3 linked regions of the Macaca mulatta genome follow. The protein of the gene in region 3 binds, or shares a complex with, the protein of the main gene of each other region. Links are inferred from orthologs where the notes say so. Each region holds a gene or a part of one and is shown on either strand. Other genes may lie near its edges.

What was found. Proteins that work in one complex are often made in the same cells at the same time.
Region 1: RBMX2 (region 3) and CWC15 share a complex: the UniProt entries of both Homo sapiens proteins name them as parts of the minor spliceosome. The link is inferred for Macaca mulatta from reciprocal best matches to the Homo sapiens genes RBMX2 and CWC15.
Region 2: RBMX2 (region 3) and CRIPT share a complex: the UniProt entries of both Homo sapiens proteins name them as parts of the minor spliceosome. The link is inferred for Macaca mulatta from reciprocal best matches to the Homo sapiens genes RBMX2 and CRIPT.

Annotation. Positions count from the first base shown.
Region 1 is NC_133419.1:95,762,569-95,767,070, forward strand, and holds the start of CWC15 (spliceosome-associated protein CWC15 homolog), read right to left. Parts: upstream 2,968-4,502; 5' UTR 2,875-2,967; exon of another isoform or gene 2,856-2,874; intron 1,549-2,855; 5' UTR 1,541-1,548; coding exon 1,410-1,540; intron 524-1,409; coding exon 411-523; intron 102-410; coding exon 13-101; intron 1-12. UniProt on the Homo sapiens protein: Involved in pre-mRNA splicing as component of the spliceosome. Component of the PRP19-CDC5L complex that forms an integral part of the spliceosome and is required for activating pre-mRNA splicing.
Region 2 is NC_133418.1:78,216,358-78,220,841, forward strand, and holds the start of CRIPT (cysteine-rich PDZ-binding protein), read right to left. Parts: upstream 2,968-4,484; 5' UTR 2,890-2,967; coding exon 2,874-2,889; intron 1,407-2,873; coding exon 1,341-1,406; intron 548-1,340; coding exon 493-547; intron 1-492. UniProt on the Homo sapiens protein: As a component of the minor spliceosome, involved in the splicing of U12-type introns in pre-mRNAs. Involved in the cytoskeletal anchoring of DLG4 in excitatory synapses.
Region 3 is NC_133426.1:136,863,040-136,867,840, reverse strand, and holds the start of RBMX2 (RNA-binding motif protein, X-linked 2), read right to left. Parts: upstream 2,978-4,801; 5' UTR 2,963-2,977; coding exon 2,958-2,962; intron 2,747-2,957; coding exon 2,631-2,746; intron 1,179-2,630; coding exon 1,127-1,178; intron 1-1,126. UniProt on the Homo sapiens protein: Involved in pre-mRNA splicing as component of the activated spliceosome. As a component of the minor spliceosome, involved in the splicing of U12-type introns in pre-mRNAs.

The sequences.
Region 1 (4,502 bases), on a different chromosome or scaffold from region 3:
AACAAAACATACATCTGTTAGAGGGTCATCTGCATCAAGGTTGGCAGCAGGAATCTGGTCTAACCGTGGCTTTTTTGACACTGAAGAGGAGGTTGTATGTTCTGAGGGGAAACAAAAATCACTTAACTTAGTAAAACAAATACTGCATTTCTTAAAATGTTTTAGGGACCTGTGGGCACGAGGAGCCCACACTGAAAGCATTATCCACAGTGAAATCACATCCACAGTGCCTGGGCAAATAAGCCTTTGGTAAATATTTGTTATTGTTATCTCTAATGACTTAAGAAAGTATTACAGCTCACATCAATCTGTAAAAGCAAACAAATGGTTAATATTTTCCAGTTGCTACATAAAAGAAAAACTATCAACAACATAATTTTAGAGATAAATGTCTTGGATAGTGTTGGTACCTCGGGTTGGACGATCTCTGTTTTTCTCTCTTGCAGCAGCTCTCTCTCTTTCTTCCAACTCTCTCCTGAAGTCACGGTTACGAACCTCTTCAGGGGCATCCTGAGTAGTTTGTCTAAAGTAGAAACAAACCAGGGCAAAAATGGTACTTAAACACACACACACATACACACACACACGACTGTGGTAATGGAAGACAATTCAGGAATGAGACTTTGTCCTTCAAGCATAAAAAAGGGAAGTAGATAAGATCATAATCTAATCTGAAAGTTACTAACAGCCACTCTTGTGATGTTCCCAATATTTCAAGAAGTCCAAATTCAATCACGCATTTTCCTATAATAAGGCTTTACGTGATTAAAATGTCTTTAATTTTTATTGGTATTATCAACTCAGAACTTAACAGTAATACTTTTAATATATTGACTGGTGCTGATAGTGCATAATCTCTCTGAGGCATTATTATTTCTGTTATTTATTGTTGTATCTACATACGAAAATTTCTGGTTAGTAGGAATTTTGCATTTTAAAACCACAGGGCAGAATTTTAGTGTTAAACATCCTATTGCATTCTAATCCTATGATAATAGATAAGTGACATAACTCGAACATACTACTATATCATGACCATGCCATTTAACAGATTTGGTCTTGTTTTGTGAACAAGAAAAAAAAGAGGCTGGGCGCGGTGGCTCAAGCCTGTAATCCCAGCACTTTGGGAGGCCGAGATGGGCAGATCACAAGGTCAGGAGATCGAGACCATCCTGGCTAACACGGTGAAACCCCGTCTCTACTAAAAAATACAAAAACCTAGCCGGGGCAGGTGGCCGGCGTCTGTAGTCCCAGCTACTCGGGAGGCTGAGGCAGGAGAATGGCGTGAACCCAGGAGGTGGAGCTTGCAGTGGGCTGAGATCCGGCCACTGCACTCCAGTCTGGGCGACAAAGCGAGACTCTGTCTCAACAAAAAAAAAAAAGAAAGAAAAAAAAGAAAGTCTTACTACCTGTATTTTATCTTTGTGTGAGAGGGTAGGTCTCTGCTTGAATACTGCTTTGAAAGTTGGCTCAAATCACCTTCTCCTTTTCCCCTTCCACCTCTTGCAGGTTCAAAGGTTGGCCTGGCTGCTGTTGTCATCTTTTATGCTTTGAAGAAAAATATAATCAAGTTATTTACAACAATACAAACACTCATTTTACAGAGTATTAATATCCATACTAGTGAAATAAATTCTAAAACTCATTCCCCTAAACCTGCTTAATCTTCTTAAACAAAAGTTTTCAGGAAAACAAATTATGAGGCTTAGGCCATACAACGAATAGGGCTTCTCAGGCTTGTCTTAGTACAAAAAATTCTGTCATGAAGATCTGAGTTTGCATCCCTATTCTCCTTCTGACTATATGGGCTTGAGCAAGTCACCTGGCTTAACTTTCTGTCATCCGTGGAATGGAGATATTCCTCATAGGATTACTATAAGAATTATGACACTTGACATGTCAAAAGCCTTGAAAAATACAGTACCACCATGACTAAGTTTTAAAAATTTCCAACTCAACCTTACTCTACCAGACTCTCTAAGGTTTGCATTTTATCTAAACTTCACACAATAGCAAATAGGCTAGTAGAAACAAAAGCTAAAAACAAACAAAAAATATCACTGACAAAGTTACTAAGTGTCTGAGAAAAAAGTTACTAAGGAAAGTGTGTTAAACTTCAATGACAGGTACATAGAAAAAAATTCTTAACCTTTTGTTGAGCCAATTTTCTCCTACAACAGGCATCATATTATAAATCAGATCGTTTGTGGGTTATAACTTAAGGACTGTTCAAAAAAAACAAAAACAAAAACAAAACAGGAACCTCAGCCCCAGAGGATTCTGATGACAAAAATCAGGGACCCATTCCTTAAGTTACTTTCTGCTTGGAGCAGTCACAAGAATACTGCCTAGCAGATGCAGTCATTAAAACCCTGTTAGTGTCGGAAAAGCAAGTGTGTGGGGAGGGTGGGCGAACTGGGAGGATTTTTTTGGGGGGGGGGAGTGCTTTCTCCTAATTTTCAAAAAGAGTAAGAGACATGTATACAAAGAAGAAACGGGGTTATCTGGAGCTGGGAGTCCGCCCCTTCCCACACACTAACGGAATTATCACTCCGGCCTCTCGTGAGCTAGTCTTTGGCTATAACCAGAAACTCGTTGCCCCTTAACCCGTGCCCAGCGCCGCAGGGGTGCGAGGGGTAGTGAAAGGAGGACCTGGGGTTCGCTTTACGCGGTAGGCGCGCTGCCTTTTATGCTGCGATCTCCTCTGCGGCCCGAGAGCTCCGGACGCGCCTGACAGGCACTCCGTTTCGCCCCTAGCCCGCTGCTCTAGGTCCTCCACCGCCCGCACTCTGCACTCTGCCGCCGACTCCGACCCCAACTGCCCTTTCCCGTCCCACCGGGATGAGGAAGATAACCTATCCTCCTGCCGCTCACACTGGCCGAGGTCCGATGCAGCAATCTCCGAAGATCATACAGACGCCATTACGACTCCGGGCTCCCAGAAACCTCTGCGCCCAGGGCTAGCGCCTACGACCCGGAAGCAAAATCCAAGCGCTTCGGAGGCGGAAGCAACGACCAATCCGCAGTGGCCGAAGTGGAAGTCGGCGTAACGGCACTAAGGGGCGGGGCCGAAACGGCCCAGGGGGCGGGCGTTTGAAATCAGTGCCTTAGAGTAGACCCTAAATATCATTTTATACCTTCAAGAACCAATTACTTAATGTCTCTTCCGTCTTTTCCGTCCCCGACCCCCTCCCAGACTCCTTCATTCCGGTACTGCGTGGACGGAAAGCCCCGGGTAGCCGACACCACGTCCCCGGCTAGCGGGAGAGAGCGTGGAAAAGGATTACACCAAACTGTTTAAATCCAACGACTCCTGCTTCCATCCTTTCTCCTGAGCTAGAACCAACAAACCTAGAGAGTTGGGCTTCGGAAAAACTAGTGTTTTCATTTAATTGGATATGAAGAAAGAACAAATATGTACGGGGCAACCACGATCTTTACAAAGGTACATTCCTGCAAAAATATTAACACTTCAAAGCAAAGGTTGTATTCGTAATGTTTGCTAAAATTTTTTATTTAAAAAACGTTAGTTTTAGTGGGAGGGGAGATGTCAATATTTACGACAGCGTTTAGAACGGTGGGCCCAACTGCCAGGAGCACAAGATGTAATTACTAAGATGGCTACTTAAGTGTTAAGTTTTAATAAGAACGAAAAGGAGAAAACCCAAAAACCAAAAACCCACCAATCCTGTCTCCTCCCTTCCATAAAAAAAAATCCTGAGAACAGAGATCTTGATTGTTTAGCTAATCTTAGTATCTCATCACATAGACCTTGACATATAGTAGCTGCTCAATTAATATTTGTTAAACAAATGAAAATTCAACTTCCCCAACTTAGTTTAAAATATAAAGAACTCACAAAGTTGAATATTTAAATGCTTTCTTACCTCTAAATTCTTTGCAACTTTTAAATGAAGAAAGAAAAGCAGAAAAAGCCCTTTCACTCATAGAGTTCAAGATGAAAATCTTGATTTTTCTTACTAAAGGTATCCCTCCTCCAGTCTTACACGTCTCACTAAAGGACACGATCATCATACTAGTTACTCAAACCAAAATCCCAGAGTGCCTACTTAAATTCCTTTTCTTTCACTTTTCACATACGGTTCATTTACAGGTCTTACCAATTCTACTTTTAAAACTTACCCGAAATTTTATTCTACTGCCATTACCCTTGTCCTGGCCAACACCATCTCCTACCTGGATTGTAATTGTTTCCTATTGTATCTTCCTGCGTCATCTTTTATCCTACAGTCAATGCTGCATATAGCCAAGAGAGTGATCTTTTAAAATTAATCAAATGGTGTTACTATCCTGTGTAAAATTTCACTGCAGTTAGGATAAAAATCACATTTCTTAATGTGACCTGAGACGCCACGGAGTCTGGCTCCTGCCTAACTTCCAGACTTCACTTCCAATCAGTCACTCGCTTACACACTAAGCTCTAGACACAGCCAACTGGGCATTTCTGTTTTACGAAACAGGGCAAGATTCCTTCTATTTTA
Region 2 (4,484 bases), on a different chromosome or scaffold from region 3:
GAATTTTTAAGACTGGATCTAATAAAGTATGGTATCAAAAACTTGTTTTTAAGATGGGAGACATTTTTACCCCAATTCTCAGGAAAAAGTAAAGTTTAGAAAGGTCAAGAAACTTGCTTAACTTGCTTAAGGTCATAAGGCTAGACAGTGGGTCTAGACTCAAATTCAGGTTTGACTCCAAAGCTTACCATCTTTCCACATTTCCCTGCTGTCTCTGATTCATAGGATAATTAAGAAGGAGATAAAATACAAGTCATGTTTTCTGGTGAAACTGTAAGAGAATAACACTAATATCTTCATATATTGATACAGCCAAGGAGGAATAAGGTAAAACCAGCAGGATTGTAACAGATAGCTTGGTTCTGAGTGCTATGAACCACCTACCTTTATGTTTTATTGCAAATGGAATGATGCACATCAAATTCACTCCAGCAGACTTAATACTAAAAGAAAGGAAATTTATATGATCTGTCTATGGATGCTCTTACCCACCTTGCTTTTTTTGAAGTCAAAGCTTTATTTTCATTCAGCTTTCTCCCACCACTTTCTGTATCAGAATAAAAGATATTTTAGTGGGTTATTTCTATACATTTAACATAAAACATTAAGAAGTTCATTCTTTGACTTTCTACCAAAATAGTAGTCTGTATCTAATTTTTAAATCCTCATTTAGTAGGCTATTAAGACACTGCTTAAAAAGAAAACATTTATTAGGGAAACAGTAAAAATTTGTATAAAATACAATCATTTTATTTCTCAGACTCAAGGGAGTACTTTAGGAATGGGTCTATATTTACTCTATATAGTGTAAAATCTAGAAGCCACTACTTCAGTGTCATAGACCTTCAATATAATGAAAATGTTTATTTGTCTACGCTTTGAAAACATACTTTACTATATGTATTTAATAATAATGAAGGTAAATACTTCATTATAAAGATTTAATGATAATGAAGGTAAAATGGGTTAAAGCATTTATTTATTCAAGAATATAAAAATCAGAAGATTTAAAAAAATTTCTCCTCAGAAGAGTGGGGAAATTAAAAACAGACTCTAAATAAGCTGAATCAAATCAAATACTGTGATAATCAAATACTGTGATATTGTCACCACTTGACAATCATTTAATAATTTTGCTATCTCCTGATATTGGGAACCCATACAAGTAACTGAGAACTAAATAAAAGATATTAAATCACTTGGGGACCCAGTATTCTTTAACATTTAATAGATAAAATACTTTGAACATACAACATTTCATTGTACAAATAATGTAAAAGCTAAAATATAATTCACAGTAAGTATTTGGTTAAATTCCTATTTTCTAAAAGAAGAAATACCTGTGGTATTCCTAGCACCATCTTTCCATGTATCTGGAGTGATAACAGTACCAAGTTTCTTTTCACCTGTTAGAACAAGATAGTAAAAGGAAAATTAAAATTTACTATTTCATAAGTGCATTACATTGTGCCTAAGGCTCACAATGGTATCGACTATCAATGCTATTACCATAGGAGCCTGTTAATGCTGAGAAAGCAGCCAGTCAACTGAGACTCATATTAACTGTGGGCAATGAATGACTGACCGTCGGTAAAATTCGCAGGATAATAAGATGGCTTATAATAAGCTTTCACTGTTTGTTTATACTTTTAAAAAATCCAATAAGTCTATTTGTTCCATAAATATTTACTAAGCATCTATGATGTATAAACTATACAAAGTGCTGAGAAAAAGTGATGAATCAGACAAAATTTTAATGAGATTATAGTATACTAATTTCTTTAACAGCAATCTGTAACCTGGGTTCCCCAGGTGGATCTTAAGAGATATGTGAACAAGGTGGAGTTGTACACAAACCTTTTATATTTTCAGTTTTTTTTCCTGGCAAGAGGCTACAGTTTTCATCAGATTCTCAGAGGGATCAGAGACCGTCCCCCCAAAAAGAACCATTCAAACAAAATGTAAGCTAAAAAATAAAAGATATAATAATTGAGAACTAAAGTACTGGGAGAAATTCCAGGCAGGAAAAAATAACCCTGGCTAAGGAAATCCAAGAAAACAAAGTTTGGAGAGAAGGCAAGAGAGAGGATTTGAATATGTGGCAACAGGACTGTGAACAAAAAGGAGTAAAGAGGATGAACGCAAACTAGATAAAGGACACATTCTGAGGAAAGGCATAGAAAGCTTAGAGTACACATGGGCACAAAGAGTATTTTGTTTGGTCAAAGTGTGAAGAGGATGAGGGTCAGTGAAAATGAAGCTGGAAAAATAAGTTGGCGCCTTAGTGTGGAGGGTACTGAACGTCAGGTTCCAAATATAGAATCCCCAAATTATTCTCTGCACACTGAGAGTTTATTAAAGGATTTAAATTAGGGAAATAATAATTTGCACTTACGTTGATGTTCAATTCAAACATCTCTGGGTTTACTCTACGCCATATCCTGGCATAATGACTAATGAGAATGAATAAGGCAAAGTCCTAAGTCTTTGGTTCCAGTGTTTAACATTTGGCAGGAGTACAATACTTGTTACACGAATAAAAAGGAAAGGACAGGAATTGCCAAGAGGGAAAGGTGTCGCTGGGGTTTAACTGAACATTTTTATATGGGAGGGGAGCCGATGAGATCTGGGGCTGGGGGAAGGCAATGGAAATAGAGAGGGAGGTGCAGAACTGAGACCATTCTGAGTACAAAATACATAGGACTGTATGGTCGTTGGGGAGGTGCAAAAATGGTCAAAGGGTAGGGTAGAAAGACAGCGGCTAGAATCAGAGACCTGTGGGCGAAAAAAACAAAGAGAAGGCAAAGTTCCCGGGAGGGCTCAGTTAGATTATCCCAGCCTCCTCCTCCCGCAGAAGCAGCCCCTTAACTCACATTTTTCGCACACCATCCTTCCCCACGACAGTTCCCCTAGCCGCAACAGGAGCAGCAGGAGCCTGAAAACATCAACACTGTAACTGGGAAGTATTCCCCTTCCGGGCTACGTCAATCCACTTCCGGCTTCTAAGCCCACCGCTCCCGCCTACCCCAAACCTGGAAAGCCGCGGGAGGAATGAACGCGAGCGGCTAGGTGGGGCTGCCCCATTTGCCCGCCCCTCCCTTTCTGCGACTGGCTGTTCGGCCGTGGGTGTCCGCCCCACAACCCTGCGTCTGCGCGTGGGCCTGGGCCTCCTGTCGTACCTGATGGTGGGAGGCAGTAGTTCCCCGCTTCCCTTCCGCGGGCGGGAAAGTTAGGTAAGCCCCGCTGGACTTCCCAGGCGCTCTCGCCTCCCGGGGTGCAAGCCACCCCCGCGAATTGCCGAAGCAGCCCTGAGCCTCGGCGCCCCGGCCCGCCCGCTCTCGCCGTCAGCTCGAGCGCCACTCTTCCGGCGTGCCCTGATGGACAGACCCCCTTTCGGATCCGAGTTTTTGCCTCTGTCCCCCAGTTTTTCTTTGTCTCCAACTCCCGAGCTCTTTGATCCTGCTTCTCAGCTGGTTCCTCGCTGCCCACGCTCGCGCCGGCCTAGGGTCGGGCAGAATTCCCAGCGACCAGGGTTGGGGTGGAGCTGCCGGTGGAGGTGCGGCGATGCCCGTGAAGGCTCCTCTGGGGGCCGCTCTGAAGAGCCTTCTCTCCGCTGCGGTGCCTGGGGAGGTGGGCCGCGTCATGCCCGTGGCACCCCTGCAGGCGCCCTGGGGGCACGCCAGGGCCTAACACGGTGCTGGTTTCCCAGGAGAGTTGGTTTCCCACTTTGCCTACTTTGGTTCCTTCATTCACTCAGCAAACGGTTGAGTTTGGTAACTGCTCACTGTATTACATCCACATCTGATGGCAGCTGCGATTCCGAGGGTGGCTCAGAAAAATGGCTGAAGGGCTATCTGTTGAGAGAATGGATTCCTGATCCCCTTGCCCTCCCTCAATCAGCTTAAGAGAATCTATGGGAAAGTTTACCTTTGTCCCTTCTTGCCATCCGTTTGCTTCTTCATGCCTAGTGTATTTCCTTAGAGAGAGAGCTGTAGCGCGTGGGACCTTGGACCACCTCACCTGTTTGCCTTGTTTCCTTATCAGTAAAATATCTGCCTTTGAAAAGCACTGGGTGAATTAAATGAGAGCTATTAGGATAAGGCCCAGGTTCGCCCTTCTGCTTTTCGCACTAGCGGGCGCCCCTCCCGCGCGCGCGCCCACGTGTATGTGTGTGTGTGTGTGTGTGTATGTATAGTATTTTTTTTCTGAGATATTTCTATTTTCTGGAATATTCTCCATAGTGTAACATATTGACTGTTACTTTAAATTAATAAAGTCCTTGTTTAACAGTACAATTAACTCTCAGGTAATTTAAATACGTGTATTGTAGAGATGAGTAATTTGTTTTCCCTCCTTCCATTCGTGCTCTACTTTTGGTTGGAATTTAACACCTGTAACAGACGTTGTCATCTTGGTGTTTCTGAAGCATCGAGATCCCTTAGTTTAGTGTGGTGCTCTTTGAACTCTTGATTCCACTGGCCACC
Region 3 (4,801 bases):
GTAGAAGTACACAAAGGGGTAGAAATTATAGGCTGCACCTGCTGTGAACCTTGCAACATCCACAAGTTGAAGGAAGCAATCTTTGTCCCTGCCAGGGCCCTCCACTCGTGTGGGTTGCCCAGGTTCTCTATCACAGCCTTCTTCTCACGGGTATTGCCCAATTCCTTTCCCATGGCTTGCTGCCCCATAAGTGGCCCAACCACTCAGCCAGGGCCCTCTGTCCATGGATGGCCCTACCATCCTGCCATAGCAATCCCTCTGCCAGTGTATGCTACCTGTGTTTGCTTGGCCAGCCCCTTTTGCCATGGTCTGCTACCTGTACATGCTGTCCAACTTCTCTGAAACAGTACTATGCTCTGAAGGCCTACAAAACCCAAATGTAGTGGTCCTTTGCACCTGTGCCAAGATCCTCTGGCCCTGTGGACTAACTGTGCTGTTTACCTCTGGGGTTGCAGGCCAGCTGCCCAGCCCCTCTCCTACTAGCTGCTACTACCAGTATGAGCCACCAACACCCTCTCCCACCAAATGCTGCTGCCAACACCTCAGCAGAATGAAGAATATACAGATCTCCTATTCATTCTTGTTCCTCGTCAGGCTGTGATTCTCAGCCTCCAGGTAGAGATTGGCTTTGCTCACTAACCTTACATTCATTGAGAATCAAAGAAAGCAAACTACAACCTTCTTTCTGTTTTTCATCCCAATTCCTCTGTGGTTTGCCCCAGTCGTATGATGCCACACAGGCAAGGACCAGAAGGGCCCTGTGACCATGGGTTACCCCTAGTTTGCAAGAGCCCAAGGAGGCGTACCAATATGGAACCTTCCTGAGGGTTCCAGTCTGTTCCAGTCTAGGCCCAGGCTGAACAAACCTCAGTGAAAAACAACAGAAATAGACTAGAATCCCCAAGATGGCCTCCCAAATTAACAAACCTCTTGGATCTCCCACAGGAGAACATTCTAGAACCATGTCCTGGGACTGATCTAGACTAGAGCAGAAGCTCCAGCCCTCCCCATGCAGGGACGCCATTCAGCCTAGAGTGAAAATAAGTGGTTTTTGTGATGCCACAAAATGCATTACAGAAAAAAGTACTCTGTCGACTCAGGAGGCAGGAAATGAAAGGGGACTTACTGTGAGAACACACAGATGATGTCCCCTTCAGTCAGTTCATAAGGAAGCCCTCCTAGAAAAGAAAACCACATTTCAGTTCCACCAACATTTACCAAGTGTTTACTACGTACCATGCACTAGGCCAGGCACTAGGGGTGCAAACAGTAAGCAACAGGCCCTGCCCTTAAAGAAATCAAGTCTGGGCTGGGCACCATGGCTCACGCCTGTAATCCCAGCACTTTGGGAGGCCAAGGCGGGTGGATCACCTGAGGTCAGGAGTTCGAGACCAGCCTGGTCAACATGGCGAAACCCCGTCTCTACTAAAACTACAAAAAAAATTAGCCGGGCGAGGTGGCGGGCACCTGTAATCCCAGCTACTCAGGAGGCTTAAGCAGGAGACTCGCTTGAACCCAGGAGGCAGAGGTTGTAGTGAGCCGAGATCACGTCACTGCACTCCAGCCTGGACAACAAGAGTGAAACTCCAACTCAAAAAAAAAAAAAAAAAAAGAAAGAAAGAAATCAAGTCTGATGCAATGACAGAAGTACATGTAAGGTGCCAGTAGAACAGGAAAAGGAGTGACTAATTTTGAGTGGAAGTCAGTGTCACCACTAACAAAAGTAAACTGATCACTCAGTCCTCCTGGCACCCAAAATCCTATGGGCAAAGCAGATAGTTTCCATCACAAACCTCTGCTTCCACAAACATGTTGAATTCATCTGCTCATTACCCACAAATTTACAGCTATGATACAAAATTAGTCTACATATGTCATGATTAACCCCACCTACACATAGACAAAGGTTATAAAGACACTGTTAAGCATTTCCTAGGGAATAATTTCCCTTCCAAATGTTTCTTTCCTCATCTGTAAGATGGGGATATTAGCAGGTAACTCGCAAGACTGTTATAAGAGTTAAATAAAACGATGCATATAAAGTGCTTAGCACAACGTTTTTACAATAACCTCTTTGAAGCATCAAACTTGTACAATTACTGGTTGTGATATAAAGTGAATACAGTAATGGTAGTGTGGCCATGGTCAGAAAGCAGGAGCTAGAGGAGCAAAGTGAATTCTGCAAGGGAAGGGGAATGGGGGAGGGCGGTGGTAGCAATATGGGGCTGTGGCTAAGACCATGAGTTCTAGAAAGCTATAGTTCTGCCTGTTGCGGTTATTAGCTATGTGACCTTAAGGAAGTCCCTTAACTTCTCTGCACCCCAATTTCCTCAGCTGTAATAACGGGTCAGGGGGTGAGAGAGAAATAACAACAGTCCCTGAACCTTAGCACAGCAAATGGCAAACAGTAACTCTCATGAGCACTGATTTGGCTGGGAAGGAAAACTAAAAATGGGGCAGAAAAAAAAAAAAAAAAAAAAAAGATGGAACACGGATTCCCGGGCAGACAGCAGATGGATATAAAGGAGGGCAATGAATGTAAGCAGGAGTGAAGGGTGAAAATGCTGAAATAGTCGGACACCGAGCAGGAGAATCTTGGGAGCACTGCGGAAGAAAGATGTGCACCTCACCCAGGAAGATCCAGGCGCTGTCCTTGTACTCGGAGTGCCAGGACACTTTATCGGCCACCCCAAGCTGGACCTCTCGTTCATTCAGCTCGTTGATCAGCTTCACCTTAGTTAAAGGACTTCACGGTGGCGGGGGGGAGGGGAGGCAGAAAAGCAGACAAGTAAATGCTAACCGGCCGAAGCTGAAGAAGAGCAAAACAAGGGGACGAGCTGTGCTAGTCCCCGCGCCTCTCCCGCCCCTCGACCCCGCAGACGCTCTACCACCCCAGCCCCGGTAGACCACCCTCAGCGGCCCGCTGCTCGTTCCTCAAAAGGAAGCTGACGCCTTACTTCATCTCCGCGGGCTCGCGCTCAGCATTCAGGAATCAGCGCCCGGGAAAGGCAGCGCCACGCATGCGCGGCCCCGGCGCCGGTGGCTCGTCGAGTCGGTGACCTCGCGCCGGAAGAGCTGGGGCGTACCGGGGCGTGGCGCCTGCGCACTAGAAGCCTTCCGCGTTCTTTGCAGTTACCTCTTGTAGAAACGGTTTTTCTCTAATTTTTCGCTTTTTCTCCTCTGTGAAATGGGGTAAAGGCACGAGCCTGGGCTGTTGCAGGACCCCCAGCTCTTGAACGATATCGGAAACTGGTTAGATTAGCTATAAATATTTGCTGAATGAACGGAATAAGCAGCCTGATGTGGCGACTTTAGTCTCAGCCCTCGCTCCCAGTCCAGAGTCCCACTTGGACCTTCGCTCCTAGTCAGTTGCTCACGCACAGACCCATCAAAGCATCCCTGTCATGGCAGAAAAGTGAAGAAGATAGGTGAAAAGGTAAATCTTCTGTTGTTCTTATCCCAATACATAGGCAACAGACCAGTGTGCCTCTATAGGCTGAATTGAATACCTACAGATTTGCATGAGAGCCGCTGCACTTACTCTTTTCCATAGGCTCTCTCCTAGTTGAGCAGGAGACAGAAATTAATATTGTTAAATTAATAGCTAGCAAGTGAGCAGATGATGTACTGTATGATACTAGAGTATGTGCTAAGCAATTTACATGTATTGTCTCTCCACCCTCACAACAACCCAATGAAGCAGATAAAATTACAATTCCTGGCCGGGCGCAGCAGCTCATGCCTGTAATCCCAGCACTTTGGGAAGCTGAGGTAGGAGGATTGCTTGAACTCAGGAGTTTGAGACCAGCCTGGGCAACATAGCAGAACCTGTCTCTAAAATAAAGGAAAAAGGGGGGGGCCAGGTGTGGTGGCTCACACCTGTCATCCCAACACTTTGGGAGGCTAAGGCAGGTGGATCACCTGAGGTCAGGAGTTCAAGACCTACCCAGCCAACATGGTGAAACTCTGTCTCCTCTAAAAATACAAAAATTAGCTAGGCATGGTGGCACACGCCTGTAATCCCAGCTACTCGGGAGGCTGGGGCAGGAGAATCACTTGAACCTGGGAGGCAAAGGTTGCAGTGAGCTGAGATCGCACCACTGCACTCCACCCTGGGCAGCAGAGCGAGACTCCTTGTTTTAAAAAAAAAAGAAAGAGAAAGTAAAAGAAATTTCCACCCTCGTTTTGTAGAGGAAGAAATGAGGCTCAAATGAATAAATTAACTAGAAAGGTACTAGAGTACCTGCACCCAGTAGGTCAGGTTGATTCAATCAGTCCTTACTGAACATCTAGATTTGTCCTGTGCAGCTAAGGTCTGTAGACAGGAGTATCAGGGTGGGTCCTCTGCCCTCAAGGAGCTAATATTATAATTAAGGGGACAAGATATATTTGCCTGATAGATTTCAACCAGAAATATCTAGAAACCAGTGGAAGAGATGATTAACATATAATATGTGATTTAACCCATATTGACAGTTTGAATCCATTTTGCACATGTCCACATCAGTACCTGCTCTTGGACCATGATGTTCTAAAAGTAAAAGTCCAGAGCTGTGTGGCCTATCTCAGAGCACCAGATATTAGGTCCTTCATAAAAACATTTTGATGACGATACCAACTGTACCCTCAAGTGGCCCACCATGTAACCAATGTCCTGCCAAAAAGGAGAACAGAGCCTGCCCACCAATGACAGTTTCTCCTCATTCATTCTATGTCTGTTCCCCCTTCCCCATTCCAACCTAGCTATTCATTAACTTTGTAAAATTATCTTGGCAATGAAAGCTAAACAGTGACAGATTGC